Linked DNA regions of Macaca fascicularis. The protein of the gene in region 2 interacts with the protein of the main gene of each other region in a biochemical or structural test. Links are inferred from orthologs where the notes say so. Each region holds a gene or a part of one and is shown on either strand. Other genes may lie near its edges.

The links.
Region 1: the proteins of AURKB (region 2) and KLHL9 form a complex in vitro, tested with the Homo sapiens proteins (2 studies listed by BioGRID and IntAct, with this or other methods). The link is inferred for Macaca fascicularis from reciprocal best matches to the Homo sapiens genes AURKB and KLHL9.
Region 3: of the proteins of AURKB (region 2) and KLHL13, one has a biochemical effect on the other in vitro, tested with the Homo sapiens proteins (2 studies listed by BioGRID and IntAct, with this or other methods). The link is inferred for Macaca fascicularis from reciprocal best matches to the Homo sapiens genes AURKB and KLHL13.

What each region holds. Positions count from the first base shown.
Region 1 is NC_088389.1:77,605,395-77,616,121, reverse strand, and holds the start of KLHL9 (kelch-like protein 9), read right to left. Parts: upstream 5,400-10,727; 5' UTR 4,855-5,399; coding exon 3,001-4,854; 3' UTR 2,904-3,000; intron 940-2,903; exon of another isoform or gene 1-939.
Region 2 is NC_088390.1:8,284,068-8,294,899, forward strand, and holds AURKB (aurora kinase B), read right to left. Parts: upstream 7,124-10,832; 5' UTR 7,078-7,123; intron 6,796-7,077; 5' UTR 6,771-6,795; coding exon 6,723-6,770; intron 4,456-6,722; exon of another isoform or gene 4,395-4,455; coding exon 4,292-4,394; intron 4,190-4,291; coding exon 4,135-4,189; intron 3,935-4,134; coding exon 3,740-3,934; intron 3,452-3,739; coding exon 3,313-3,451; coding exon of another isoform or gene 3,303-3,312; intron 3,203-3,302; coding exon 3,054-3,202; intron 1,942-3,053; coding exon 1,767-1,941; intron 1,596-1,766; coding exon 1,422-1,595; 3' UTR 1,286-1,421; downstream 1-1,285. UniProt on the Homo sapiens protein: Serine/threonine-protein kinase component of the chromosomal passenger complex (CPC), a complex that acts as a key regulator of mitosis.
Region 3 is NC_088395.1:124,446,954-124,457,800, forward strand, and holds the start of KLHL13 (kelch-like protein 13), read right to left. Parts: upstream 5,400-10,847; 5' UTR 5,107-5,399; intron 1-5,106. UniProt on the Homo sapiens protein: Substrate-specific adapter of a BCR (BTB-CUL3-RBX1) E3 ubiquitin-protein ligase complex required for mitotic progression and cytokinesis.

The DNA of each region.
Region 1 (10,727 bases), on a different chromosome or scaffold from region 2:
AACTTTCTTTAAAAAATTACCAGCTTATGAAAATAAATCTCTACTTAATCATTTCAACCACCTAAAATTTCTCTCTATAACGAACTCCAGGTTTAATGAGCAGTACAAGTTGAATATCCCTTATCTGAAATGCTTGGGACTAGAAGTGTTTTGGATTTTGGAATATTTGCATGTACATGATGTATCCTGGGGGAGGGACCCAAGTCTAAACAATATTACTTAAAACTTCAGTTATATATCACATATGTTTTATACACATAGTCTGAAGGTAATTATATATAATATGCTTAATAATGTTGTGCATGAAACAAAGAAGTCTTCACTGTGTTTTGAGTATAACCTGTCACATGAGGTCTGGTGTGGAATTTTCTACTTGTGGCAGGCATCCTGTTAGCCCTCAAAAAGTTTTAAATTTTGGAGCATTTTGGATTTTTGGATTAGGGCTGCTCAACCTGTATTAGCATAGCATTAGTCAGCTACCTGCATGATACCAAGAGAACTGTCAACTGCAGAATATGGGAAAGTAAACGAATGAGAGGCAGGGTGTGTGAAGCTGGAGGTGGGGGATATAGATAGAGCAGTTTACCTGGTAAAGCAATACTTATTTCAATAGGAAGCACCAGGGTCAGACATAAGACGTAATAAAAAGTATTTTGTTTCAATAAAAGGAAAAGCTTGTACAAAATAGAAGCAGGGCAGTACCACTTTGGTAGGTCAGAATAAGCACTGAAATACTACATTAAAAATAAACCATATCAAATTTATCCCCTAACCCCATCTCTACTAAAAATACAACATTAGCCGGGCGTGGTGGTACATGCCTGTAATCCCAGCTACTCGGGAGGCTGAGGCAGGAGAACCACCTGAACATGGGAGGCAGAGGTTTCAGTGAGCACAGGTCGTGCCACTGCACTCCAAACTGGACAACAGAGTGAGACCCTGTCTCAAAAAAAAAAAAAAAGAAAAAGACAAATTTGATCTCAAAAATTAACAGCGTTGCCATTGTAAAACTACAATAGATTGAGGGAAGAAATAAATGCAAGCAAATGCAAGTTAAATTACATTTATTATATAAAGAGATCCTATAACTTGATACGAAAAACAAAGCAACTCCAACAGGTAACAGAAGGGCAAAAGGACAGGAATATTTGATCAAAGAAACACAGCTATCCATAATACACAAATATTCAACCTCATTAATAATCAAGAAAGGATTAGGATGCACTTCTTGCTTATTCAATAAAGTTAATTTCTAATTTCTATATTTTTCAAATGTACTCAAATGTGCTATTTTTAGTAATAAAAAACTGAGTCATTAAAAAAAAATATAAAATATGAACATTTCTGCCAATGCAGAAATCATAAAAAGCATTAAAATGAATCAACACTTGTATGGGCAGTAAGGTTCAGACCCCTAGAAGCCAATTCATTTTGCCTTGGTTCCTGAGTTTTATTATGGGATTGTCAATAAAGTTGTTCCTGATTTACACTCTGACAATCTTCCAGGTATAGGGGTGTTTGTGTGTGTGTGTACATACACATATGTATATATAAAATTTTTTTCTTCAGGTAGACAATTATTCCAGACAAGTACCTCTTCAGAATCATTACAGAGAATTCCTGTAACTCCATTTGCTGATAAAAGTCCCATTAAAAACTATCATGTGGTTCTCAACCAGTAGGGATACCCTTGGTATTGAAGAGGCTGGAGGTTGCTATTAGTACTGCTCATAAGACCATAATGTTCCAGAGGCTCTGTAGCTGGCTTCTTAGGGAATCTGAAGTTGGTCCTGTCCTTGAGACATGGCCAAAAGCACATTTTTCCTCACTTGATGCAGAAGAAAATGTATCTCCTGCTTGCTCAGATCATAGCCTTGAGGCAGCTCACACAGCTCAGGATGCACATGGACTGGAACAGCACCAGGGCAATCACCCCAAATCGCAAATGACTAAGTTGGGAGGCTGAACTTAAAACTCTATAGCTTTGTTCAGAATATTTTTTTCTTTGCTTTTTTCATTAAGTTTTACTGACCAAAAAAGGTGGAAAAAAGAACCTAAATTTTCTGCACAAAAACAATTCTCTGAAACCTGAACTTTACCAATCTGTGTAAAAGTACTCTACAGAAACTATACAAGTAGAAAAAACTAACGTAAGCTTCATATGAAGTAATGGTTTTGTCACATGACAAATTTGGTTGTTGATTTAGTATGCTGTAGCCCTCATCTAAATTCAGTATGACTATATAAACATTTATTCTCTGGTATTGAATTCCCATTTGAATAGAAACGGCTGCTTTGTGGAAGAAAGAAACTTCAATTTAAAAACAATTTCAGCATCGTTGAAGTGCCAATTTTTAAATTATGTGTGTGTATACATATGTATGTATGTGCGTAGGGATGTATGTTTGTATTGTGTATTTTTTTCTCCTTTCTCCCTCTCTTGCTCACTCTAGAGAGAGATACCAAATACTGGTTTGGTGCTATACTGTTTTTTCCTAATTAGTATTTTTATTATTTCTGTCTGCGTAAGAAACTTCAAATATTCTGAATGCAACCACACAATCGAGTAAGTTGACAGACATATCAAAAACTATGAAAAGAGGGAGGTAACTAGTATTAATACTGGGCAACCTTTCGTTAATTTTAGGTTACAGTGACCTCCCTCTGACATTTTGGAGTCAAAGATGAAAACTCGACTTTGAAGCATAATGGACATAATTACACATTTACCACAGTCATCTACAATTTTATATAACATCACAAAAAGACATCTAAACATTTTTCTACATCTTTTTTTCTCATTTGTTAAAACAGCTAGCTATGTTAAATACATCTTCAGAATGCATTTGTTAGTCACTTGATAAACATACTAAAAGCCAAACAAGACGAATAACATCAATTACCTTTATATCTAATAACTGTACCAATCACTGTAAGAAGATACAACTGAAGAAGTATTAGATCACCCATGATGTACTGCAAAGGTGTTACACCTTAGACCTAAGAATGATCTGAAGGTGCTGAAAGAGGTGATTCTCTAGAAGGTGACCCAGGGTTTTCTTCAGGTGGAAAAACTGTGAGTGTACAAGCTCGAATGCCACCAAGTGACTCTGGAAGATCAAAAACTTTATGCCACTCATCTTTTTCTGGGTCATATTTCTGGACAATTTCTACCATACAACGATTATTCCAAGAATATCCACCAACAACGTAGATTTTATTTTCAAAGACGGCAACTCCAACATCACTTTGGCCTCTTAACATGGCGGCAATTGGGGTCCACTGGTCAAGGGTTGGTGAATAGTATTCACAGCTTAGAACATCATCATAATCACTTGTTCCTCTGAAGTGATTGCCGCCAATGACATAGAGCTTATCTCCAACCGTACACATGCAATGCAGACCTCTGACTGTAGTCATTGGAGCCTTTTGCATCCACTTATCTGTATCTGGGTCAAAACACATAAGCTCATTTTGGAAAGTGTCATGGGTAATTCCTCCTGAAATATACATTAAGCCTCCATATACTGTTCCAGCATGGCCATAGTGGGGTTCACTCATTTTTGCAACATAGCTCCACTCATTCATTCTTGGGTTGTAACATTCTACTGTGGCCAGTTCACCAGCTGCACTGCGCCCACCAACTGCATACAAATGTCCTTTGAGGGCACTCAAGTGAAAGAATGTACGCTTTTCATTTAATGATGCAACCTGCATCCATTTATTATACCGAGGATCAAATCTGAAAACTGTATCAACAGCAGTTTTTCCTTTTGTATCATAATTACTTTGACCACCAACTACATAAAGAAAGTTTCCAATGACAGCAATACCATGCTGGTAACGGGGAGCATCCATCGGGGCTAAAGATCTCCATTCTTGTGCCCTTTCATCATACATTCGTAATTCTTTACTGACAACCAGCTGCTGCCTCAAAACTCCTCCTAATGTAACCAAGTGAGTGGAGTCAGATCGAATGGCAGTTCTATCTGACTGCATCACTGGCTGCATATATGGCATCATTTGGTAATTGCTGGCTTCCAAAAGCAAATTCACGCAGGTATTGTCTGTTCTCATGAAATCTACTGTCTGCACGTAATTGATGAGATCCTGTGGTGTCATCAGTGGGAATCGAATATTCTTCATTAATTTTGCAGCATAATCCATCCGAGGGTCTTCCAACCTTAGCCAGCGACAGGCTGCCTTAAAGAGTTCGAGTTCGGTACAGTGCTTAAGACTATTACTGGAAAGCACAAAGGCAAGCCGTTCAAAAGGGAGTTTTAGAAACTCCCCAGTACTCAATAAAGCAGGAAAGTTCTTCAGGATGAAGTTATTAACATATTTATCCACTTCTATGAGATTGTAGGTGTTAGCAATTCGTCCAACCTCAACACAGTTATCTAAAGAGACTCCTGATATAAGAAATACTTTACAGAAATCCAAAACGGGTAATATTTGTAAAAAACTAGCAGCTTCAAGTGTGTCCTGAAGATTGTCCATATTAAGAGAAAGTTTTGCAGTATAAATAAAATCAATGATTTTCTTCAGACCAACCTTGTTCACCCCATGAAGCTTAATGCACATCAGATCTTGTTCTTTCATTCCACCTGTGAACATAGCTTTGAAATAATCACTAGCAGACGCCATCATAGCTCTGTGAACAGGGAAGATTTCATCTCCATCACCTGGTACCAGAGTCACATCACAAAGCAATCCTTCTATTCTAAGCTGATCAAAGCCTTGCAGTACCACCGAACTGTGTGTATTGCTGGTAAAAAAGCGTGTGGTTCCTGCCTTACAAGGCTGCAAATGGGCAGAGACGCCCATTTCGCCGTTACCAAGGGACACTTTCATGTGAAAGCTTTCCTCTTGCACAGAGATGCAAGCCGGAGAAAGAAGTTATAACCGGAATGTTTTACAGGCAACGAGGTGTCCACAAAGAACAGAAAGCTCGTTTCCTTATCAAGGGAAGGCAGCCACTGCGGCACCCCTCAGGCCACGCCAGTCAGTCATCCACTGAAAATCGCCCTGTAGCAGGACCACAAAGGGCTGTGGACCTCAAATCTGATTATTAGACAGATGATTCATCACCTGAAGGCGGTTAAATGACCCGGTTCACCTCGTCCGGCCTGCGCTGCCGCTCCTTCAGCAGTTCCGCTTCGGGCAACGAAGAGGCGCCGCCACGTACTGTGGCTCCACGGCCCGCTCGGCGGCGGGTCCGGGAACCTCAGCGAACGGCCCGCTGCGCCCTCCGCTGTACCTAGAGTGTCGCAGCGGCCACCGACCTGTCTTTGAGCAAGGACCTGGAACACAGGCCTGGGACTGGGCTTGGGCCTAGAATACCGGCCTAGCCCCGACGCCGAGCCGCTCCTTCCGGAAAAGCTTACTCCCAGGATCCCGCGGGGTGGGAGCGGCCGTAGCGGCTACTGCGGCTGCGCGGCCTCCAGAGCTCGTCAGTGGGCGGGCGTGTGGGGGTGGGGAAGGGGGAGGAAGTGTGCGGGAGGCGGGGAGGGCGGGGGTTGAGGAAGACGAGCTGTCTGGAGTGGGCGCGAGCCCGGCTCCTTAGATCTGCCTTGTATGTGGGACAAAATAGAACAGAATGTGTGCACGTATATTATGCTGCATGTTTGATGTAAGTTTTTCACATATCTGAGCTCTTACGTTCCCCAAATGCATACATTTTTTAAAACTTTGCAATTCCTAGTTTCTGTTTTTTTGAATAACAGTGAAACGCGGCTTTTGTATAAATTGAGAGGAAACCTGGATGCTTAATTTTTTTTTTCCTCTACAAAACAATAATTGTTATCCCACATTATGTAATAGATACCTTAGTTACAATTTTGGTTCGTATTTTCAAATTTGTTATAATTTCAAAGGCAAAATATTTGTCTCTACTAGATTGTTACTTTATTATATAAATGATACAGTCTAAATTTTTGGCTTGAAATGCCTTTGTTTTCCATAATTTTAAAAATGGCTACATAATTTTTCAATAACATACTATAGTTTCCTTTGCCCATTGTTTGTTCCTGAATATGTACCTTCTTATCCTCCATTGTTTTATAGAAAAACAATGGAGTAGTAAATTTACAGAATCTGGTAGCAAAATTTTAGCCCTGTTATGGATAATATTTAGTAAAATGCTGATCCAAGACAGTATTTCCAAAATATTATCATGAGCAATGTTTGTGCCTTTCCCTTCTGCTGACTTTTCCCTTTTTAAGTATTTTATTAATTTACATTTCTTTAATTAGTGGTAAATTTAAATTTTGACATACAAATCAATGTATACTTTGACACAGTTTCTTCCATTTTCCAAATTTTGAAGTTTATGTCTTTTAAGTCCTTCTAGTTCTTTAAGCGTGTGCAAAGTAAGAATAGTCATGTTTTTATTACACTCTCCTCATTTTTATGTAAAAGATAGCATACCATGTACACTGTTCTGCATTTTTCTTTTTTCACTTCAAGATCTTCCTGAATTACTATAGAGAGCTTATTTATATTTTTAAACAATTCTATTGTTGCCCTCGGAGTTGTTATAAGTTATTTAACCAGTGCCCGATTGATGGACAGTTCATCTGTTTTGAATGTTTTCTATTGTTTCCGATGGATGGCAGCAAAATTCAGAAGGCTTAGACTACCACTGACCTCCACAAGGTGCTCCAGCAGATTGTCAACCTATTCAACACAAGAGGTTGGTTGGAATGAAACTGGCCTGGAGAAATTATTCACTGAAATTTTGTCAGCATTGGGAAGTCCTGGAGCCCTACTTGTTGCATGAGTTAGGGGTGGAAGGGCTCTCTTGGGGCATGACAACTCCATAATGCTGTGAAGAGCTACTTCCAAGGAATCAGTCTCTATCTGGAAAAGAAAGAATAGAGACTCTGTACCTGGGAAGTTGGAGCAAGAAATCATGAGATCCTTCTCTTTTTCATCAAACTTGCAAGTAAGATTAATAGCTTAGGAACAGACTTGTTCCTATACAGTAATAATAATGAAATTATTACTGTATAGAGACTCTTCATTGTATTCCCATATGTTTAGTTATTTTAAAAGACTGTCTTTTTTGCCTGCATAATGAAATGATTGAATCAAATTTGTCACAATACTTGTTGGTAATGTCTATATGATAAAGCATCCAGTCCTTAGGGGCATTAGCTCACCATGGATGATATTATTAATTTACCTATGTACTTAGTTATTGAGTCTACTACATTTATTGTATTCAGTATTTTTGCTTATATGAAATGTTCACCTTTAACACTGTGCTAATTACATTAAAAAGTGTTCCGTTTATATATTTTTGTTTGTTTGTTTGTTTTGTTTTGTTTTGATGGAGTCTCGCTCTGTCACCCAGGCTGGAGTACAGTCGTGCCATCTCGGCTCACTGCAACCTCCGCCTCCCAGGTTCAAGCAGTTCTCCTGCCTTAGCCTCCTGAGTAACTGGGACTACAGGTGTGCGCCACTGTGCCTGGCTAATTTTTTGTATTTTTAGTAAAGATGGAGTTTCACCATGCTGGCCAGGCTGCTCTCAAACTCCTCACCTCGTGATCCATCCGCCTCAGCCTCCCAAAGTGCTGGGATTTCAGGCGTGAGCCACCACGCCCAGCTCCTCACTTTATATTTTGAAAATTATTCTCTTTATTATTTCAAGTTTTACTTTCAGATCTTTTTGCATTTGTTTGTTAAACACACACACACACACACACACACACACACACACACAAGGTCTTGCTGTGTCACCTAAGCTGGAGTGCAGTGGCAGGATCATAGCTCACTACAGCCTCGAACTCCTAGCCTCAAGCAATCCTCCCATCTCAGCCTCCCACACTGCTGGGATTACTGGCATAAGCCACCATACCTGGCCTTACTCAATAAATCAATGCCAAGTTTGATTTTGCAGCCTCAAGTGAAGTTGAGTTCATTCATTCCATTCACACTGTATGGAACACTTGATATGTGACTGTTTTCAGGATAGAAAAGTGAATAAAGGAAACACAGCTTCAGCCCTCTTGAAACTTTTTGCCGAGAGAGAAAGAAAATTATTAATCAACCAATTAATTTCAACTGTATCATAAACTGACACCATAGGCAAAAGTAAAGTGGTTTTTATCACCAGAAACTGGAGGATTTTAAGCCTTGAAAATTGGATGCACAGTTCTGGAATTTACAGAGTGCATGGCTAGAGATGTTCATTTGGGAGCTGGGCTATACTTTTTTCCTGAAAGCCCAAGGATGGATGAGGTCTGGCAGAAATTGTGTAGTGAATCAGAAGACCAAAACCTGAATCTTGAGGACCTTTACATCTTAATGTAGTGAACAGAGTGAGGAACCTGAAAAGGGCATTTCAATGAAATGATAGGAGGACATCCAGGAGCAAAATAGGAGGACAACCAGGAGAAAATTGTGATAAGAGGGTGTTTAAGGGAAGAAACATGTTTAAAACATGACGTTTTACATTTAGGAAAAGAAAGGGGTGGTTTGCCAGAATTAATTTGTCAAAATCCAGATTGGAATATATTGACTAGAGTAAATAGGAGGAGAGGTTGGAGACAAAGTGGATGGAAACTTCTTTTAGAAGTTTATCTGTGAATGGAAGAAGAGAAAGAAGGTAGTACCTGGAGAAAAATGTGTGTTTGTATTATTGGATATAATTTTGTAACCTTTTTACAAACTAGGATTGACTTCAGGGAATGGATATAGTGGCACAAAGCATATAAAATTAATACTTTATTTAATCGGGTATATTGTCTAACTGCTTATTTAATAAGCTAAAATTTCAAGAATAATTGTTTAATAGTTTTTGAGTACTAGGGGGCTACAGTGTTTTTCCATTTGCTTCACTTGCTGTTCTTAATTCTATTTGGGTTTCATTTTATGGCATTAATTGTACTTTTTATTATTCTTATGAATTATGGTTTTATACACCCCTCTTAAAAGTATATATAAACCTTTTATGCAGATGTTAGCTATATTCCCTATGATGCAACTTTGTCAATTTTGTTTACACATAACTGTTATTTTCCTTTACATTTCTCCTATTGCCAGATGATTGAGACCATGCAAAACTTAAGGAAAATGAGTTTGAAATCCTACTTCTTTCCATCAAACAAATGGGCTCTCTTTATTAATGTGGATAAATAAAATCCAGATGCTCTTCAGAGAGGGTGTAGATGACTGCACAGAGAGCTCATTTATCACATTTTTCGTACACCAGGGATGCTAGTTCTGCAAAAATACTGAAACCTAAGTAAGACTAGACAAGGATGGCCATCGCAGTAAAGGCCATCTCTGACCAGATGGGGATACTTCTAGGGAAGTATATTCTGCTGCCATGCAGATAATGTCTGTAAACCACCACACTGTGAGTTTATTGATTCACTGGTTTCCTATTCTTTACTACCTAGTCATAAAACTCACTCATACTTTGGTAGCATTTTATAATTTTCTCTCTTAGCAGAGATGATATGAGGAGTGATCTGCAGATCAGAATTGGTAAGTGATGTCTTTAAGACATCCATTTAGTGAATGGTGAGGGGCAGAGATAGGATTCATAGCTGGTTCTGCCTGTATGTTCAGTGTTCTTTTCTCTGTGTTTAATGTATCTAAGTTAGACTTTGTTGTTTGTCATGAATGCAGAATTGATGAGAGCAGTCAATACTAAGAAGGCATTAAAAGAAAACATTGTTTTTCTTTTCTTTCATCAGTGTTAAGAAAGAACAGGGAAAGAAAGAAAAAATCTGTTGATTATGTGCTATCTATAAAATACGTATGTGCCATCTATAAAACAAATAATATGTTACATGATTTAATCCACCTGTTACAGTGTGAATAGTAATACTATTAAGCTTACTTTATCAATGAAAAAAGCAGGACGCTGAGAGAAGAGGTGACCCACGTAGAGTGCACAAGTGATTGGCAGAGATAGGATTTGAGTCTAGGTGTGCTGATGGAAAACTTCATGTACTCAGTGGATATCATGTTTCCCCAAGGTTAGGTTCTTTCTTTCTCTTCTTTCTTTCTCTTCTTCACAAGTTACCCTGGTGGAGACCCAAAATCACAGCGTCTGCCTTACTCACTCTATGCTTCACTCATTTCCTCATTATTGCCTTATCTTCCTACAGCATCTCTCTGGGTCACAGATAGACCTCCTGTCACCTGCATAAGTGCAGTGAAGAACTTGGGTACCCCAAGGATTCTGAGGGGTTGAGAAACATATAAATCTTCAGTCAAGAGACAGGGCCTGACTAGGACTTACAAGTTTAGCACCAACCATGTCCAGAGTGCCTAGCTGGCCTCACTGGAGAAAAGGATTACTCATGAAATCCTCTTGGTCTGTTGTCTCCTGTCCTTTGTGAAATGGTGAAGAAAATAATAGACCCCAATCTGTTCTCAGCTCAAATCTTCTCCTTTTTAGTGGTGGCTTTTGGGCAAGTCTTTTTCCCTCAGAGGTTGACGCCTGCTTACAGGGTCTGAGCCGTAAGTAGGAGGAAGTCAAAGGGTATGTGCAGAACAATCTACAAAGTGCTGTGTGGTAGTTAGTGGTTATTTCTCTAAACACATCTAATTGTCTTGATTCAGACTGTTGATCGAGCTTGCCATGATATTTTAGACAGCACAATTTAGTGACTAAAGGGTTTGACTTTAGAGCCAGAGTTCCTGGTTTGGATTCTAGCTCAGCTATTTAATAGCAATATGACCATGGCAAGTACCATGAACATTATGCT
Region 2 (10,832 bases):
GGCATTTTTGGTGATGTCTATAGACCGTTTACCTGCGTGTACCCAGCATTACCATGTCTTTCTCTAGATACTTGTACTCACCATTGCCATGTCTTTCTTTAGATGTCCCCTAGAGGACAACAAGAGACCATCACAAAGGTGCACAGGAGGCACTCAAAAGACACTGGCCACAGTGCAAAGCACTGGAAATAATCTGCATGTCCATCCAGTAGAAGGGCTTTAAAAAAAAACCTAGGGATATCCATATTAAAAATTATAGGCTCTAATTATAGCCTGTAAATTACAGGCCTGTAATCTCAGCTACTCGGCAGGCTGAGGCAGGAGAATAGCTTGAACCTGAGAGGAGGTTGGAGGTTGCAGTGAGCCGAGATCAGGCCACTGCACTCCATCCTGCACCACAGGGTGAGGCTCCGTCCTGCTCTGTCGCCAGGCTGGAGTGCATTGGTGCGATTTGGGCTCGCTGAAACCTCCACCTCCCCAGTTCAAGAGATTCTCCTGCCTCAGCTTTCTGAGTAGCTGGAATTATAGGCATGCACCACCATGCTCAGCTAATTTTTGTATTTTTAGTAGAGATGGGGTTTCACCATGTTGGCCAGGATGGTCTCGATCTCTTGACCTCGTGATCCGCCCGCCTCGGCCTCTGAAAGTGCTGGGATTGCAGGCGTGAGCCACTGCATCTGGACTTAACTTTTTTTTTTTAAGACTGAGTAAACTAGGAGTAAATAGGCCCTATTTAACCTGATAAAGGGTATCTATCAAAAACCTACAGCAAGCATCATACATGACAGTGAAACCTTGTGTCAGGAACAAGACAGAATCACTACTGCTTCTATTGGCTCCTGTACTAGATCCTGACCAGAGCAGTAAAAGAATCAAAGACAGTTTCTAGGGTACAGAATTGTTCAGCTGCTCCTACGCTGGCAAAGGGGCAGAGAATGAAACAGAAAAGGAAAAACTAGAAGTTGGACAACCAAGAGAGAGGTGAAAGAAGGTGGCCAGAGATGGCTGGTGTTCCAATGTAGCAATGGGGAGCCAGGGCCCCCAGTGCCCCCGGGCTCTGGGAGTCAGAACAATGGAAAGAACAGACAGGGTAGAGGTGAAAGTGGGGGTAGGGGTGGGGGTGGCTGGGAGCTGACCAGGTGGGTGTCAGAGCTGAGAGGGTAGGGTGTTACCAGGGATAGCAAAGCAATGCTCATCCCAGCTCCTCAGGGTGAGCCACCTCTCCTTCTAGGGAACAGCTTCCTCCACAGCAAAGCCTCCACCTAGAAACATCTACACTCATCAGTACAAAAAGCTTCAGCCTTTATTAAACAAAGGAGGAGGTAGAAGACAGATAAGGGAACAGTTCAGGATCCCTTCTTTCCCCTATACATACACAAACATACAAAACACAGACACACCCCAGTGAATGACAGGGACCATCAGGCAACAGATTGAAGGGCAGAGGGAGGCAGCACCCTCCGAGAGTTGGCCCGGACCCAGGGGTGGGCTGAGACCTGGGCCAGGGGCAGCCGTTCCGAGGGGTTATGCCTGAGCAGTTTAGAGATGAGGTCCTGGGCTCCCGTGGGCACAGAAGCGGGGAACTTTAGGTCCACCTGCAGGTGTGAAGAGATGGAAGGGCTGCATTACTTTCACCCTGGCTACATCTTCCTTGACTACCCATTCTGTCTGGAGTTACTTAGGGCCACGCGGATACACTCTGCCCACCCCCAGCCCCCCAGCCCCTGGCCTCTGCAGCTGGCACGAAGCCCAGGCCGCCCTCCCACCTTGACGATGCGCCGATAGGTCTCGTTGTGTGATGCGCTCTCAAATGGTGGGTTTCCCACCAGCAACTCATAGCAAAGCACTCCAATGCACCACAGATCCACCTTCTCGTTGTGTGTGCGCCCCTCAATCATCTCTGGGGGCAGGTAGTCCAGGGTGCCACACATTGTCTTCCTCCTGGGAGGGATAAGGGGCGTGGGCAGGGGTCCCAGTGACATAGGAACTCTCCTTTCCCTGCTACCTGATGGCAGGGAGCCAAAAGACCACGGGAGGTACCAGGGGAGAGGTCCAGCCAGGCAGGGTTACTGGAGTGGGGGTGGGGTTGGGGTGATGACATATCTGAAAGCCCCAGAGGTAAGCCTGCACACAGCCCCAGCAACTCCACGCTGAAGGATATGTCTTAATGAGATACTCCGCTATGAGGGCAGTGTTCATTTGGAGTTCATTTTGGAGTTCACTGGGGACATCTCTAATGCCCATCAGGCATGTTCTGCTTAAATAAATCAGCTACTATGTGATACTATGAAACCGTTAAAAAATGATGTGGGAGGAAAAAAGGCCACTGCTCCGGGCTTTTTTGAGACAGAGTCCAGGCTGGAGTGCAAGGGGGCGATCTTGGCTCACTGCAACCTTTGCCTCCCGGATTCAAGTGATTCTCGTGTCTCAGCCTCCCGCACAGCTGGGATTGCAAGTGTGCACCTCCATGTCTGCTTAATACATTTTGTATTTTTAGTAACGATGGGGTTTCGCCATGTTGGCCAGGCTAGTCCGCTAGCCTTGAACTCCTGGCCTCAAGTGATCCACCTGCCTTGGCCTCCCAAAGTGCTGGGATTAGCAGGCGTGAGCCACCGCACCTGGCTAAAGTTTTACCATTGGCTCATACGGGGATCAAACCCATGACCTTGGGGTTCTTAGCACCACATTCTAACCATTTTGTTTGTTTTTTTTTAGAGGAGTCTCACTCTGCCGTCCAGGCTGGAGTGCAATGGCGCAATCTTGGCTCACTGCAACCTCCGCCTCCCAGGTTCAAACAATTCTCCCGCCTCAGCCTCCCGAGTAGCTGGGATTACTGGTGTCCGCCACCATGCCCGGCTAATTTTTGTATATTTAGTAGAGACAAGGTTTCAGCATGTTGGCAAAGCTAGTTTCGAACTCCTGACCTCAGGTGATCCGCCCGCCTCAGCCTCCCAAAGTGCGGGTATTACAGGCGTGAGCCAGCACGCCCAGCCCCTGGAGAGGTTTTAATGGCCCCGCCTCACACCCAGGGCTGGCCTCCCAGGCCACCATACCTCAGGGAGGGCGCATGCACAGACCAGCCAAAGTCAGCAATCTTCAGCTCTCCCTTGAGCCCTAAGAGCAGATTCTCTGGCTTTATGTCTCTGTGAATCACCTTCTTCCCGTGGCAGTACATCAGAGCATCTGCCAACTCCTCCATGATCTGGGAGGGGCAACGACAGGCAATCAGACAAGGATGGACCTCCAGCTACAAGCAGCACACCCTCAGCCTCCAGCCCCCTACTGGCGGCCCAGGTGCCCACCCGCCCGGACCGTGGCTGTTCGCTGCTCGTCAAATGTGCGGCTCTTCTGCAGCTCCTTGTAGAGCTCCCCGCGGGGCGCATACTCTAGAATCAAGTAGATCCTCCTCCGGTCGTAAAAATAGTTGTAAAGACGCAGGATGTTGGGATGGCTGAGGGAAGAGACAGAGGAAGCCTCAGGCCAAAGGCATAAAAGAGCTGGGAAAGATAATAGGAGCAAACTGGGGTCAGACGGGGCCCAGGCTGGGGACACCAGGAATGGGAGTGGGAAGGGGAAACTGGAGGCAGATTTCTGGATTCAAGGCTCTGGCCAGGACTAAGGGCTAAATGGGGCTCACTAGCCGTAGCTACAGAGAACGCAATCTGGATGAGGTAGGGCTGAGTGAGGAGCTGGGGTGAGGGAGCAGAGGGGCTTCGGCTCAGGGGGCATCAACCCATACTGCAGGTGGGCCTGGATTTCGATCTCTCTGCGCAGCTGATGCTCCACGCCCTCCTTCTCTATCTGGGACTTGAAGAGGACCTTGAGCGCCACGATGAAATGGCTTTTCTTCTCCCGAGCCAAGTACACGTTTCCAAACTTGCCTTTGCCCAGAGGACGCCCAATCTCAAAGTCATCAATTGTGAAGTGCCGCCTGCTTAGAAAGTGGGGGAAGGCAACTCAGAACCGGTTTTGGTTATTAAGAGGTTTGCTTTCTCTCCGCTTCCTCATCTCATCCTGTCCCCCGCCCCACTTCTCTTCATCTCTACTCCTCCTGCCCTTAGGTTTTATCTTCCCGACTTCCTGCCCATTCACTGTCCCCTCACCTCCCTCCACCCCAAGGCTTGGGGCACTTACATTAAGATGTTGGGTGTCCCACTGCTGTTCTCCACCACCTTCTGGCCAGGGGCAGCTAAGGAGACAACAGGTAAGTTGAATGAGAGCAGGGATGACCTTCTCATCCCTAAACCCTCCCATAGACGCTCATCAGTCCTCTCCCCCTTGCCCCAGGTACCTGTGGGCTGGACATTGGAGCGGCTCATGAGGACAAGTGCAGATGGGGTGACAGGCTCTTTCCGGAGGACTCGCTGGGGCAGGGTGCTCAGGCCAGACGGAGCCTGAGAAGGAGCAGGGGGTAGCTCTGAGGGTGCCTTTGTCTGATGACCCGGGTGGAATGTGCTGCAAGCAGTATTTCAGCCCCTTGCTAAAGAGCCACCCACCCGCCCACCCCCAATTCAAAGAGAAACACTGATGTGACAGTTTTGCCTCCCAGCCTCTGCTCACAGTCCCATGTTAAAATGGGTTATTCATAAACAACCTAGGGCCGGGCGCAGTGGCTCACGCAGTCAGGAGTTCAAGACCAGCCTGGCCAACATGGTGAAACCCCGTCTCTACTAAAAATACAAAAAATTAGCCCAGTGCGGCTGGGTGTGGTGGGTCACGCTTGTAATCCCAGCACTTTGGAAGGCTGAGGCAGGCGGATCACGAGGTCAGGAGTTCGAGACCAGCATGGCCAACACAGTGAAACCCCACTCTACTAAAAATACAAAAATTAGCTGGGCGTGGTGGCGAGTGCCTGTAATCCCACCTACTCAGGAGGCTGAGGCAGGAGAATCGCTTGAACCTAGGAGGCAGAGGTTGCAGTGGGCCGAGATTGTGCCATTGCACTCTAGCCTGGGCGACAGAGCTAGACTTCGTCTCAAAAAAAAAAAAAAAAATTAGCTGGGTGCGGGTCCTGTAATCCCAGCTACTTGAGAGGCTGAGGCAGGAGAATTGCTTGAGCCCGGGCGGCAGAGGTTGCAGTGAGTTGAGATTGCGCCACTGCACTCCAGCCTGGGCGACAGAGTGAGACTCTGTCTCTAAAAAATAAAAATTAAAAAATTAAAAAATAACCTAAGTAGGCCTAAGATAAGGGGCAAAAGACTCACACCAACACCTAACATTTCACCTCTTTGGCCCTGGCCCACACTTTTCAGGCATGAAGCTGTTCAACTTGTATAAGTCCTGTCCATAACACCACAGCCATTCATCTAGCCTCTCACCTACACCACAGTAGAGAGCTGGGTGTCTACTGTGAACACCCACAATTCAAGGGGTTTAGACAGAGGTATTCTCAAAGTCTCCCAAAAAGCTTAGTTTATTAAGGCTTAGATAAGAAGCTTGAGGCCTTGAATGTTATAGCAATAACCAGGGGTTACACCTTTGCAAGAACAGCCTTTAAGGACACTAAGAGCTACTCTGATGGCCCTGGACCACTTCTCACTTTCACCTTCTTTTTTTTCTTCTGAGATGGAGTCTTGCTCTATTACCCAGGCTGGAGTGCAATGGCGCCATCTCGGCTCACTGCAACCTCCACCTCCCAGGTTCAGGCAATTCTTCTGCCTCAGCCTCCTGAGTAGCTGGGATTACAGGCGTCCGCCACCATGCCTGGCTAATTTTTGTATTTTTAGTAGAGACAGGGTTTCACCATGTTGGCCAGGCTGGTCTTGAACTCCTGACCTCAGGTGATCCACCTGCCTCAGCCTCCCACGATTACAGGTATGAGCCACTGCACCTGGCCTCACTTTCAGCTTCTCAAAATAATAGATACACTTTCTTTTAGGAGTGACCAAGGTAAAAGTGACAATGGTTTCTCATTCAGACTCCATTCCTGACAGCCTCACTCATTGCTCCGTGAGGGAGGGAGCTGATGAACAAGGGGACAGGCAGATTCTCCAGGAAGCCCGAGCTCCACAAACAGGGAGCAAAGCCTATGCAGGGCCCCTTCCTTCTTCTTCAGCCAAGAGAAGAGAGCCCCTATGCCCCTAAAAACCTCTTCCCAAATAGTGATATTGGTACAGATCTACAAATAAGCAAGTTGAATAAAATACAGTCCAGAAATAGACCCACATATATGTGGGAATTTATATATATAATAAAGGTGGCATTTCAAATCAGAGAGGAGGCCCCTCAATGAAATCTGTCTGGACAACTGGGAAATAAATCCATTTAGATTCATTGAGATCCTTACCTCAACTTACTCATTAATTCCAAATTATAATTTAGACTTTTCCTGGACCTTTTAAACAGTAACTTTATATCCTTTTAGAGTCTATTTATATTTGCTGTCTAGTTTATTTTTTTCAGGACATGGGTTGGGAATCATGGCCTGAAGGCCAGGCCCTGCCTGCTCAGTCCCAGATATCACTTGTGTGTGATGAACCCTGCAGAGGCCCTCACCGGCTGGTAGTCACTGGCTGGTCAGATTCAAGTTGGCAGCACCTAACAGGATGTGGCTGGCTACAAATGCCCAGACCAGGTTCTGTCATCAAACTTGGGGCGCGTACTTTGGAGCATAACGGGAAAGAAAGTGCATAAGGGATTGCTCTTTGCACGATCTCAAGTTTCCCAGCAGGAACTCGCCATGCGGGGTCATGTGGGCGCGGGGAAGGAGGGAAGGGCCTTACCGTCTGCCGGCCGTAGGGCCAGGGGTAGGCGTTCTCCTTCTGGGCCATCCTTAGAGGGAAAGGGGGAGGAGAGCTGGGCCGAGAAGGGAAACAGCCGTGAGAAGCAGAGAAAAAGAGAGAGAGAGAGGTAGGGGTTGGACCGATCAAGCCGGAAGCGCTAGCCCGAGCTGGTAAAAGGGAGCAGGTCAGCACACTAGCTCCAATCCGGGCGCTTGTCTCACCGCCCCCACCCTGCTATCATCCCTACCTCCTTCCAGCCCTGCAGTGTGCGCGCAGGCCAGCCCAACGGACCCTCTGATCTGCCTGATCATCTGCCCACTCCTGGCGCAAGGCCTGCGACAGGAGGCCAGCTCACCTGAGGTCCAAGGTACTGCTACTCTCCCGGCCGCCCGCAAACAACTGAATCTGCCACGCCACGCCCTGGCCGAGGACCTTTCAAATCTCCCGCCCCGGCCCCATTGGGTGAGCTCGTCGCCCATGCCTAGTTCCCATTGGCTCGATGTCCTGTGACGTAAGTAATGGGAACCCAACGGAAGAGGCACGCTTGGCTTCCAGCTTAGGAAGGTTTCCCCACATTCCCCCAGTGAATTATCTTCCTTTTTCTTTTCTTTACTTCCCTTCCCTTCCCCTCCCCTCCCCTCCCCTCCCCTCCCCTCCCCTCCCCTCCCCTCCCCTCCTCTTCTCCCCTCCCCTCCTCTTCTCCCCTCCCCTCCTCTTCTCCCCTCCCCTCCTCTTCTCCCCTCCCCTCCCCTCTCCTCCCCTCCCCTTCTCTTCTCCCCTCCCTCCCCTCCCCTCCCCTCCTCTTCTCCCCTCCCTCCCCTCCCCTCCCCTTCTCTTCTCCCCTCCCCTCCCCTCCCCTCCCCTCCCCTCTCCTCCCCTCTCCTCCCCTCCCCTTCTCTTCTCCCCTCCCCTCCCCTCCCCTTCCCTCCCCTCCCCTCTCCTCCCCTCCCCTCTCCTCCCCTCCCCTCCCCTCCCCTCCCCTCCCCTCCCCTTTCCTTTTTTGAGACAGAGTCTCTCTCTGTCGCCCAGGCTGGAGTATAGTGGTGCTATCTCGGCTTGCTGCAACCTCTGCCTCCCGGTTTCAAGCGATTCTCGTGCCTCAGCCACCCGAGTGGCTGGGATTACAGGCGCCCGGAATTTTTGTATTTTTGGTAGAGACGGGTTTTCACTATGTTGGCCAATCTGGTCTCGAACTCCTGTCCTCAGGTGATCCACCCGCCTGGGCTTCCCCAAATGCTGGTATTACAGGCGTGAGCCACCGCGCCTGGCCTTCTTCTTTTTATAAAAAAAATTAAATCTTTAATATAACTGGAGTTTATCCTTATACATGTATGAGCTGGGGTCTAACTTCTGCGCGATGGAGAGCCAGTTATGTCAACACCATTTGTTAAACAAACTGCCCCAATAGAATTTAAATGCTGCCCTTGATATATAATGTTAGCATATTTACTTGTGTCTATGTCTAGACTTTGTATTCTGTTGTTTGCTCATTTGGCTGTGTGTTTATTCTTGTGTCATTACTATGTCGTTATTAAAAGTTCTGACATTCCTGGGAGGAGTTTTCCACGAGTAGACCTTTCCTTGCAAGATCTCTGTTAGCTGCCATGTTGTTTGGGCCCACTTTGATTTTTCCTCCTTCCTGCCACACTCCCTTCTTTTCTGCTCTTCCTAACCCTCAGATTTCATTACTGGGTAATGAATACATTACTGTAAATAAATACATTTCTGGGTCTTCTATGAAATAACCAGTGGATACTTGTTAAGTATGTACTGTCCAGCACTCTTCTCCTTTCTCCTAACACTCTTATTTTCCCTTAGGGGACCACCTGTCTCTCCAGTCTAAGTAGTCGGTTTCTGTAGTAGTTTCTGTTGCTGACAACCCCAAATCCCTAGGTTGATGAAGACCTAATTAAATACCACTTCTTTTTTTGTTTGTTTGTTTGTTTTTGTTTTTTGAGACGAAGTTTTGCTGTGTTGCCCAGGCTGGAGTGCAATAGCGCCATATCGGCTCACCACAACCTCCTCCTCCCGGGTTCAAGCGATTCTCCTGTCTCAGCCTCCCCAGTAGCTGGGATTACAGGCGCATGTGACCACGCCAGCTGATTTTTGTATTTTTAGTAGAGACGGGATTTCATCCCATTGGTCAGGCTGGTCTCAAACTCTGACCTCAGGTGATCCGCCCACCTTGGCCTCCCAAAGTGCTTGGATTACAGGCATGAGCCACTGCGCCCAGCCTTATTCCCAGTTCTTTTTTTTTTTTTTCTTTTTTTTTTTTTGAGACGGAGTCTCGCTCTGTAGCCTGGGCTGGAGTGCAGTGGCCGGATCTCAGCTCACTGCAAGCTCCGCCTCCCGGGTTTACGCCATTCTCCTGCCTCAGCCTCCCGAATAGCTGGGACTACAGGCGCCCGCCACCTTGCCCAGCTAGTTTTTTGTATTTTTTTAGTAGAGACGGGGTTTCACCGTGTTAGCCAGGATGGTCTCGATCTCCTGACCTCGTGATCCGCCCGCCTCGGCCTCCCAGAGTGCTGGGATTACAGGCTTGAGCCACCGCGCCCGGCCTATTCCCAGTTCTGAAAGCACGTAGAGTTTTGAGGGTTTGAGAAGGAAACTGACTCCATTCCAGGTCCAGAAATGAGTCCCAATTGACTTACACTAATCAACAGGTTTTATTCCAGATTCTGGTTATTGGATCAGGGATATAAGCATGTGACTTCAGTGGACCAGCTAGTGGGAATCACTTTTCTTGCTCAGAATGCTGGGCAGCTCAAGGAAGCACTTAACGTTTACTGGTTTATCATAAAGTGTATTTCAAAGGATATAGATGAAAAGAGGTATAGGGCATGGTATGGAGGAAGGGATTTCTGGAAGTGAGCAGGGAAGCATGCAGCCCTCGTTGCTGCTTCTAGTGCTACTGAAGGAAGCAGCTTGACATTGAAGCCTAACATTGCAGAAGGCAGAAGAGAGGCCTGGAAAGCACTCCAGGACTTGATGACATTGTCTGCATGCCTCTGCATGCCTCCATTAGCACTTTTCCTACACGAACAATAGATATTCTTCCTGAATGCATTCTAAATGCTATTTTCCGTTTAAAGCATACCGTGTAGAGAAAACAAACCATGGCTGGGCTTGGCGGCTCATGCCTGTAACCCCAGCACTTTGGGAGGCCAAGGCAGCTGTATCACTTGATCCCAGGAGTTTAAGATCAGCCTGGGCAACATGGTGAAACCCCGTCTCTACAAAAAACACACAAAAAATTAGCCGGGTATGGTAGTGTATGCCTCTAGTCCAAGCATACACTTGGCCTCTAGTCCAAGCTACTTGGAAGGCTGAGGCAGGAGAATCAGCAGAGCCCAGAGGTCAAGGCTGTGGTGAGCCATGATTGTGCCACTGCACTCCAGCTCCGACATGAGAGTGACACCCTGTCTCAATAAAAACAAAAAACGGGCCGGGTACAGTGGCTCACGCCTGTAATCCTAGCACTTCAGGAGCCCCAGGAGAGTGGATTGCCTGAGCTCAGGAGTTCAAGACCACCCTGGGCAACATGGTGAAACCCATCACTACTAAAATACAAAAAATTAGCCAGTTCTGGCCAGGCGTGGTGGCTCATGCTTGTAATCCCAGCACTTTGGAAGGCTGAGGCAGGCGGATCACGAGGTCAGGAGTTCGAGACCAGCATGGCCAACACAGTGAAACCCCACTCTACTAAAAATACAAAAATTAGCTGGGTGTGGTGGCAGGAGCCTGTAATCCCAGCTACTTGGGAGGCTGAGGCAGGAGAATCGCTTGAACCCGGGAGGTGGAGGTTGCAGGGAATCGAGATCGCACTACTGCACTCCAGCCTGGGTGACAGAGCTAGACTCCATCTCGAAAAAAAAAAAAAAAGGCCAGTTGTGGTGGCAGGTACCTGTAGTCCCAGCTACTCAGGAGGCTGAGTGAGGCACAAGAATTGCTTAAACCTGGGAGTGTTGCAGTGAGCTGAGATCACGCCACTGCACTCCAGCCTGGGCAACACAGCAAGAATCTGTCTAAAAAAAAAAAAAAAAAAGACCCAATTTTTCCTCTGCCCTCACACCACAGCAATCAACACAGGAGACTTCTGCGACCACATGT
Region 3 (10,847 bases), on a different chromosome or scaffold from region 2:
ATTGCAAACAAATTGTGGGCCTAGGCCAGGGGAGGTGGCTCACGCCTGCAATCCCAGCACTTTGGGAGCCCAAGATGGGTGGACCACCTGAGGTCAAGAGTTTGAGACCAGCCTCGCCAACACGGTGAAACCCGTCTCTACTAAAAATAAAAAGTTAGGCCAGGAGCAGTGGCTCACGCCTGTAATCTCAACACTTTGGGAGGCCGAGGCGGGTGGATCACGAGGTCAGGAGATCGAGATCATCATCACTAACATGGTGAAACCCCGTCTCTACTAAAAATACAAAAAATTAGCCTGGTGTGGTGGCACGCACCTGCAGTCCCAGCTACTCGGGAGGCTGAGGTAGGAGAATCGCTTGAACCCGGGAGGCAGAGGTTGCAGTGAGCCGGGATCATGCCACTGCACTCCAGCCTGGGCAACAGAGCCAGACTCCGTCTCAACAACAAAAAAAAAAAAAAAGAAAGAAAGAAAGAAAGAAAAAGAAAAAGTGGGCCTAGCTAATTCATGTAATCTTAGCAAGTACCATAAGAGGCAAGTTCTATTATCCCTTTTTTACATATAAGATAACTGAGGTACAGAGAGGTTTACTAACTCACCCAGTGTCCCACAACTATTAAGTCTCCTAGCTGGAATTGAAACCTAGGTGGCCTAGTTCCAGAGCTTGAACTCTGAACAAGTATGCTCTACAACCTCTCTCAGAAACCACTTCAGAACACCAGACAAACACATGAAAAGTATATCAAAAAATTAATAGGAGAAACATCACAAGACAGCATTTATTCATTATTCAATAACTATTTATAAAGTGCATACCATGTGCTGGGTGCTCAGAATACAACAGTGAGCGAACCAGATAAGGTCTAGGTGGCCTTCATGAAGCCAGAGGCAAGTGGGGAGATGGTCAGGCACCAAAATAAGCATAATTATGACACAACAGGGCAAGTGCTGTTCACCTTCAGATGGGGAGATCTAGTTCAATGAGGAATAGTGTAATAGGACCTGGGATTCCAAATGACAAAAAAGAAAGACATGGCATCCATTTGACAAGCACCTACTGTGCACCTACTCTATGCCAGGAATAATGCTAAGCACAAAAGTTCCAAACTGGGGAAAATCAGTTTAAACCAATAGAGATTTGTGAAAGAGAATAATAAGGACATATGGGAAAGTAGGCTGGGATCAAATCATGGAGGATCCTTGCTTGAGTGGCTCAGTTAAGGAGGAAGTTGACCCTGCAGGCACTGATCAAGGTTATTTTGCATGTTATTCCCCCACAATATTAGGATTTACTCCTGTGGAATGTCAATAATCATCTGCATTCCTATTTGGGACCAACTAGACCTCAAAGCTGGATTGCTTTCAAGGAAGGGCTTAGGGCAATAAATTCATTGAAGCTTCAGGAAACACAGTAGCCCTAATCTCTCAAGGAATAAAAGTATGGCCATTTGAAAATGTTGGAGAGGCAACAGGTAAAAGAAAATGATAAGCCCTTCTTAAAATTCCAAAGGCCCTTTCTAAAACCTAGGTTATTCCTTTACACACAAATAAAATGTCCAACCTTCCAAAGGAAACATATTTCCATGAGAAAATAAGACATCATTCTTTGAAAAATAAATTCTGAAGTTGAACAATGATCTGATTTTTAATAAAGTTGGTGACAACTTACCTTGTAGCACAAGTCACAATGTGACAGTGGAAAGTAAACTGCCTTTTAACATACTCACCTCAGTGTTCCCATTCCCCCATCCCCTTACCAAAACAGAGTAGAGGAACTGGATTACATGATTATTTAGCATATTGATCATACAGTTTTTTTTTATTCTCAGGTATTAATATAAATGACTGAGTGAGTAGACATTCTATTTATCCTCTGCAAAACTTTTTTTTAATTTCCTTGGATAATTTTTTTAAGCCAATGACCTTCCCCAGGAAAGACTCTTCAGTGGCTTCCTATTGTTCTAAGAATCAAACCCAAATTCTTTCTCAGGACCTCCAAGTCCTATTTATCTGTTATTGAGCTGCTTCTAGGCTCTGTAACATCTTCTTTAATCACTACCAGCTCACGAGGATCCAGTCATGCTGACTTGCTTTCTGCTCTTCAAAAACGCCAAGTCTCTTTTTCCCCCCTCAAGGCCTTGGCTCTTACTCTTCTCTCTGCAAGAATGTTATCTGGGGAATGTTCTCCCAGATTCTGACAAGGTAGGCCTATTCTCTCTTCTCTTTCAGGTCTCTGCTCAATCATCTTCTCTGAGAGGCCTTTCCTGACTTCCGACACTAAAATAGGCCCTTCCTAGTTATCTGTATCATATTCCCCTACTTATTGTCATTGCTGTTACTACAGTCTATAAGGATCTTCTTCATTTGTTTGCTTGTTTATTGTCTATATTCTCTGGTAGAATATAAGCACTGTGATACTCCACAAGAGCAAAGATCATGCTTTATGAGGTTTATCATTGTGCCTAATACAGGGCCTTGGCACACAAGTACCAAATAGATTTTGTAAAATGAATTAGTAAATGAATGAATGATACAAAAAAAACTGATTGTTATGAATATCAGTAACTTGAGAAAGCCGTTCTTATAATTTTGAGATATTTTCTCTAGGGCTATTCATTTCTCTACAGTCTTTCCACATTTTCTGAAATAATTCCTGGAAATTTGTTGTATTATTTCATAGCAATAAAAATACATCGGTTTCAATCAGTGGATTTAAGAAAAAAATATTTTCAAGAGGTTTTAGTGGCTTACCAAACATCAATAAAAATCAAACAATTTGAAAATTGGTCAGTCTCATTTCACTACCGCAAGTCAAATTACATGAAGAGAATGTGAAATGTAAATAAAATGAGAAAGAAGATAATCCAATAAATAAGTGCAGTTACATTTAGTAATAACAGAAATATCCAGTCTGATAATCTCTAGGTGTACCAGATGGACTATCAAACACATATTGAGTCATATTGAAGATTCAGAGCAAAATGTTTATGGCTAATTCACATCCACCTTTATTCTTTTCCTGGCAAATACAGTCTTACTATGCAATCACATTACTAGCAATCTTAGCTTAGATTTTGTATCAATAACAATCATGAAAAGAAAAAAGTAAGAAAATAGTATAAACTCTTTTCCTTGAAAAAGTTGTAAGTTTTTATGTCTTTTGAGAATGGTTTGCTAAGAAAATTACAGATTTAGAAAGGTGGGCCTATTAGAATAAGTACCCTTTCCCTACTACATTCCATTTTTTAATAAACCTCAAGTAAACCCAGGAATTTACCAAATCAATTGGGAAACTACAAATCATCTGCAAGTTATCTAACTAAATGGATAAGCAATAGGCTTTACTTTTCTTGTGAAAACTACTTTCTTCAGAACATCAACTAAGCCTTATATAATCACACGACACTTTTTGAAGTGTGTTTATAAAAATGGCAAATTAAAAACCTTGGGCTTTTTAATAATTGAAGCTCTTATTTATCTGTTTTTTAAATACATCATTTGATGTTGCAGCAGAAACTACTCTCATCTCACTGCCATAAGAAGTGCCACCGGGACAGTGAAATTTAGCCATTATCTTCATTCACAACCTGGTTTCTTCTGAGATTGCTGCCAATTAGTGCACACTGTGTCAATGGCAACACTAGGTCACACATCAGGCAAACAACTCTTTTACCGTTAAGTATGAGGCTATTAATAAGAACTTGCAGTTAAGGGAGCTAATATTTTTAGATGTAAAATGATGTCATAAATGCTGAATTATTTCATTTTTCTCAGTTTTTAAATTTGAACACTAGATACAGCCTATTTCCAAAAACACAGCTGCATATGTCAGCATGTGCTTGTTCACTGGTATTTGCCTCCACTGTGTGCTTCTCCATTCAGTTTTCTTCACACACTAATTGCAGTATGGAAGTGAGCAAATGAACCTCAGTATGGGAGCTAACACCACAACTACATGGGGAGAAAGTGATATCCCTAAGAGTGAGTAGTCTTTTTTGTAACTACGTGGTTTTAAAATACGCTGCTTTTAGACGGTTTATACAAATATGAAATCTACTGTTAAGAAACTGTGGCTTCAAAAAAATAATAAATTTTTTAAAAAGCAGGTGCTCTCCAGAGACAGTTTTAAATTCCAGCGTTTCTTAGTCTCCATTCAATGTGCTTAGTTGCCAGCCTATGCTAACTTGAACGACTTTATCCCAAACCACTAAAGTCCTCTGACTACATTAAAACGATGAACATCCCAGTTTACAATTAGAGAAATGGAGCCAGGCATCACAAGCCCCACCAATCCTCTCTCTCAGGCCTGTTCAGCAGCCAGGGAATAATCAGATTTAGGACCATGTACGAAAATTGCGTACAAACATATATACATACATTTTAAGTGACTATTGTTCTTGGGCTAAGTTAATGAAACCTAGAAAGAAACTTTAAAGTTCCCTAGTTGATATTTACTAAGGCTATTTAGTGAAGGGATGATCTCATCACTTTCAGTAAACTGTAGCCTAGACTATAAGCCTCCACGAAAATCATTAGTCAACTGTGATTAAACAAGCAAACAAAAAAAAAAAGTCAAAATATTCAGAGCTGAAGACATTCAGAGCGAAGTTAAAAGCTTCGAGGAAGAAGAGGAGTGTGCTCCTGACTTGGGAGCCAGGAGAGGAGCCTCCTAAGTAAGAAGCTTCTGAAGGAAGAGATGGATTAGGAGGCACAAAGCAGAAACTGTTAGAGGGCAAGAGACAGTGGGGCCGGGGCGGGCAGAGGGACCCCAGACCGTCAGGGCAGCAACAGCGAGGCCCAGAGAAGAAAATCTTGGAGAGATGACAAAGAAGCACAGGAAAGCCGGCTTCTGGGGTCCTAGAAAAACCCAGGCGTCCGACGGAGCCAGAAGGACCGGGAGAACGGGATGCGAAGGTGTAAGGATGAGGGCGCGCACCAGCACGCGGGAGAAAAAGAGGGGGCGGCGGGCAAAACGAAGCTGGTTCCCTGCTCCTCTACTCCTCTGCCCCTGGTACAGATCGCAACTCCTCGCCGCGCACCGCGCAGCGCCAGGTCCGGAGGCAGGGAAGCGGCTGATGGAGCCCCTGTGACTTCGGGACCCTGCCTCACCTTGCTCGCCGCGTCCTGGCGTCGCGCCGCTTGTCCGCCGGGTGCTGCGCTCCGAGGGCCAAAGAGGGAGTCTCGCGGCGCAGCCGGGGCTCCCTCCTGCTGCGAGGCACCAGCACCCGCACCTTCGCACCCTCTGCTAGTCCCGGCCACTTCACCCTGTCCTGGCGCAAGCGGAGAGCACGGACCCTAACCCGAATGCCGCTCCAGTTATTTTCAAAACTCCCCGTTCCAGGCTTCCCGGGAATAGGAGCTGAGCTACTGCGGCCGCAGCGGCAGAGCCTCCGCCTGACCTCACCAGGGTGTGGGGGGGACTGCTGAGGGAGGGGGGGCGGGAACCCAGTTGGGGAGGGAGGGGGCAGTGGGGGGAGGGAGCGCGCGGGCGGGGGAAACATGGCGGCGGGGGTGGCCCCGGCGGCGCCTGCGCGGGAGGCAGGGTGGCGGGGAGCTGTGGCTAGGACAGTGTGTGGGGTCCCAACGGAACTCCCGGGCTGTAGCCAAAGCTTGACAGGGCTGGACCCTGAAGCTGAATGACCGCTAAGTGGCCCTCACGCCTCCGAACCCGGGAGGGTCGGGTGTGAGCCCACATGGCTTCTAGTGCCGGGAGGCAGAGAAAGTGAAAAGTGTCAAGTATCCAAGGACAACAGTGCAGCCGCCCTGGGTTAGCCACTCCAAGGAGGTCCACCCGTGCATTCTGCCAGCCGTGGCCTCGGCCTCCTCATAGTCACGGCAGGGCCCCGGCAAAGGGTGTGCTCTGGAAGCAGTGCCACCTCACCTCAGTGGGGCCCACGTCTCAAAATAAGCCTGACCCAGGCTCTCACACAAATACCACTCTTCTAGTGGGATAAGCGCTTCATCCCTCCCCCTCCCTGCTGCAGTACACAACATTAAGAAAGAGGAAGGATAAAAACTACAAATAACCATTTAACATTTTACTGAGCGTCTGCTATGAACCAAGTACTGAAGCTTCAACTTACCTAATTCACAGCTACTCTGTAAGTTACACACTATTGTCTCCATTTTACAAGTGACAAAACTGAGGTGTATAGGTTAAGCAAGTTGCCAGAGGTTACGTAAATAGTGACAGAGCGGGACTCAGGATCCCAAGCGGTGTGATTCTGGCACCCAGGCTCTTAACTATGCGACCTGCTTCCCAACTCTGGTGGGACTGCTCTTCTAAGTCAGAATCTTGATTCTGTTCTATCAGCCTAGCCCCCAACAAAAACCCCCGTCAAGCCTGTTTTTCCCCTTGCTTGTCTTCTATTCATTCTTTGCCTTCTTGACGGTTACAGCCTGGGGCCACCTTCTTACACCTCTTCCTTTGCCCTTCCTTGCCTTTCTACTTATAATTCCAGACTCCTCCTTGGGAAAATAAAGGGAGTTTGCTCTTAGCAACCAGTTTAATCACTGTTGTGATTTTTTTCTTTGGCTGTTTTTTGGTTTTTTTTTAAGGAAGTGATGCGGTGAGTGTGGAATCTTTATGTTTTCTAGGATTTCTCCCTCTGGGATCTGAGATCTTCAACATTGCTGACTTTGTATTTCAACTTACATACACTGAAATTCTAGTAGAAGGTTTTAGGTAAATTTGAGAATAATCAGCTACTCAAAAACTTGCTAGAACTAAAGATAATACCACATTGTTGGACTTTACCAAATATTCAAAGAACTCCAAATATACATAGAATTTGCATTATTACCTTTTACCTGCAAGTGTATTGAACCCAATTCCCCTTTGTTAACAGGAATGCATCCATTGGCTTCTCCACTATGCTTATTCAATAATTATTGTACAGCTACCTTACACACTAAATGCTCATTAGGTAGAAAGCACCTTTTACAGAAGTTTACAATCTGACTGAGGTGATATATTTCAAGCAATCACTTTTAGCATGTATCAAAAACCTGGCACATAAGTTTAAAAAAAAAAAGTACAAACTGAGCTGGTGTACACTCGAGTCACTGCTTTATCCTGCCATTAAAAGGTTCAAGTGGGGTTAGTTTATAATAAGTTTCTCCCACAGAAAGGCCAGTAAAAATGGGACAATCCAGTGTGGCCAAGCAGGCCTTATCTACACAAAGAGAAAACCCTTATAGCAAGGTTGTTGAGATGGGGGCAACTACAGGATCTGCATTTGAACTACCAGTAACTTGCACAGATTCTCAGTTAAAAAAGAAGAAGAAGAAGGAGAAGGAGAAGGAGAAGGAGAAGAAAAAAAAAGAACTGGCAGTAAGATATTACAAATATACTTATCCAATAGAAGTCCATTGCTGTTTGTTTGGGTTCAGGTGCTTTATCTGAATACTTAATCTACTGGATAGAGCACTAGACTTGGAGTCAGAAGACAATTTATGTGCTATGTGACATTAAGTTAGTGCTCTGAGAGTGTTTTCCCAAATTTCCAGTGGGGAGTAAAATAATACTGGTCTGATATGCCCCACAGCATTGTTTAGGGTTTCAAATAAGATAACCTATGGGAGAGTAAGTTGTATTTGGAGAAAAGGTCTTTAAAGAGGTAATTCAGTTAAAGTGATGTCTCTAAGATGGGCCCGAATCCAATATGACTGCTGTCCTTTTAAGAAGAGTTTAGGACTTAGACATATATGCACACAGAGGAAAGACCATGTGAGGATGCAGTGAGAAGGCAGCCATTTGCAAGACAAGGAGGCGCTTCAGAAGAAACCAAACCTACCAACACCTTGATCTTCTAGAATTACAAGGAAATAAATTTATGTTGTTTAAGTTACCCAGTCCATGGGGTTACACTTTGTTATGGCAGGTCTAGCAAATGAATACAATGGGGAGCATTTCAAATGCCAGCTAGAGTATCCGCTGACTTCGTTATTGTTCGTTGCTAAAAACACACACATTAATTATCTGTTTCCATGTGTCAGGAGTCCAGGTATGGTTTAGCTGGGTGCACTGCTCAGGGTCTCACAAGGCTGCAATCAAGCTTTTGGCTGGGCTGTGTCCTCATGTGGAGCTCAGAATCTTCTTCCAAACTCATTCAGATTGTTGGCCAAATTCAGTTCCTTGCAGTTACAGAATTAAGACCCGTAGCATTTACTGGCTTTAGAGGCAGCCCCTCTCCATTAGCAGTTGACAACATGGTTGTTCTGCTTAGCCAAGGCCAACAGAAAAACTTCTTTCTTCTCAGGAGGGGTCTAGTGCCTCTTTTAAGGTCTTTTACCAGATTAAGTCAGGCCCTCCCAAGATTATCACCCTTTTGATTAATTCAAAAATTAACTGTGTGCCTTGATTACATCTGCAAAATCTCTTCATCTTTGCCACATAATATAACCTAATCACAAGAGTGATAGCCCAGCATATTCACAGGTCTCAACCACACCGAAGTGGAGAATGTATAACAGGAGACAAGAATCTTGGGACCATCTTAGAATTCTGCCTACCATGCCCCAAATATTTGACAGCACCAATTAATTATACAATTATAAAAATTAACTAACAGACCATACAGGCAGATGTGGGCACACACATAACATACATACAAACACACACACACACACACACACGCACACCCCCAAAGTGCACAGAGCTGGTAGCTGATCTCTAATCAGTCTAAAAGCATTTGCAAGCTTGCTGTGTGCCTAATGTGAAACTAAAAGATTTCAACTGCATTAACTCTGATTAAATAACAAATTGAAAACTATTTAGGATACATTTTGTCTCTCTGGTAAATTTGCGTTTCTTCAAAACACTTATCTCATCAATTATTGAATGGAACCTATTATTGAATGGAATCTATTTTTTAAAAAACCCTCACAGGGCTTTGGGTAGCATACACAGAAGGGTCTTGCTTTAGAAGTTAGAGATAAATCTGACTAAAGAGGTGCAAGACCTGTCCTGAAAACTTTAGGCTTGAATAAATGTAGAGATATACTGTATTCATAGGGCAGAAGAATTGATATCATTAAGATGTCAATTCACTCCTAATTGATCTATAGTTACAGCACAACCCCGATCAAAGTCCTAGCTGGCTTTTTCTGTAGAAATCAACAAGCTGATTCTAAAGTTCATATGGAAATGGACTAAAATAGCCAAAACAACTTTTAAAAAGAGCATTAGGGGGATAATACTACCTGATTTCAATTTTTACTGTAAAGCTACAATATTCAAGACAGTGTAGTATTGATCAATGAAACAGAATAGAGTCCATAAGCAGACCCACAACATATATGGGCAAGTGATTTTCAACAAATATTCAAAAACAATACTTCTTTCCATAGTGAGTACACCAATTTACATTGCCACCAACATTCTCCACATCCACATCAATACCTGTTATTCATCCTTTCTATAATAGCCATTCTGACAGCTGTGAGGTAATATTTCACCGTGGTTTTAATTCGCATTTCCCTTGATGATTAGAGATTTTCAACATTTTTAAATATATTTATTGGCGATTTGTATCTCTTCTTTTGAGAAATGTCTGTTCAGATCCTTTTCCCCGCTCTGGGTATATATTCAAAGGAATTGAAATCAGTATGTTAAAGAGATATCTGCACTCCAGTGTTTATTTCAGCATTATTCATAGTAGTTTAGTAGTCAAAACATGGAAGCAATCTAATAATCCATCGATGAATGAATGGATAAAGAAAATGTAGTATATATACACAATTAAATACTATACAACCTTAAAAAAAGAAATTCTGTCATTTGCATCCATGACAACGTGGAAAGAATTGGAGGAAATTATGCTAAGTGAAATAAGCCAGACATAGACAATACTGTATGATCTCACTCATATGTGGAATCTAAAAAAGTCAATCTCATAGAAACAGAAAGTAGAAAAGTGGTTATCAGAGGCAGGGGAAGGAGTAGGAAGCATGGGGAAAGTGAAGATGTTGATCAAAGGGTCCAAAGTTTCAGTTAGACTGGAGAATAAGTTTTAGTGACCTATTGCATGGCATAGTGACCGCAGCTAATAGTGTATATTTCAAAACTGCCAGAATAGATTTTTAAAATTCTCTCCTCCCACAAAAAAAAAAAGATGAGTTGGTGAGGTGATGGATATGTTACTTATCTTGATTAAATCTTTCTATAATGTATACATAGACCAAAACCTCACATTGTATCCCACAAATATACACAAGTATTTTTTGTCCATTTAAAAAATTTAAAGGCAATTCAGTGGAGAAAGGATAGCTTTTTTCAACAATGGTGCTGGAACAACTGGACATCCATGTGAACTAAGATCCACACCTAATACCATCTACAAAAATTAACTCAAAATGCATCAAAGACCTAAATGTAAAATCTGGAGCTATAAAATTTCCAGAACTTTGGCAAAAACCTTTGTGACCTTGGGTTAAGCCAAGATTTTTTAGCTGTAACACCAAAAGCATGATCCACAAAAAGACAAATTAATAAGTTGAACTTTATCAAAATTGAAAAGAAACAACTCTTCTATAAAAGACACTGTTGACAGAAAGAAAAAAGAAACTACAGACTGGTAGAAAATATGCAAAAATCATATCTAATATTAAAAGACTTGCATACAGAATAAAGAACCTTCAAATCTCAATAACAAGAAGATGAACAACAAATTAAAAATAAAAACAGGTAAACTATTTGAACAGACACCACTAAAGAAGATATATCAAAAAAGCATGACAAACAAGCACATGAAAAGATTCTCAACATCATTAGTCATTAGGGAAATGCAAATCAAAGCCACAATGAGATAACACTACAATGTACTAGAATACCTAGCACTAAAAAGAAT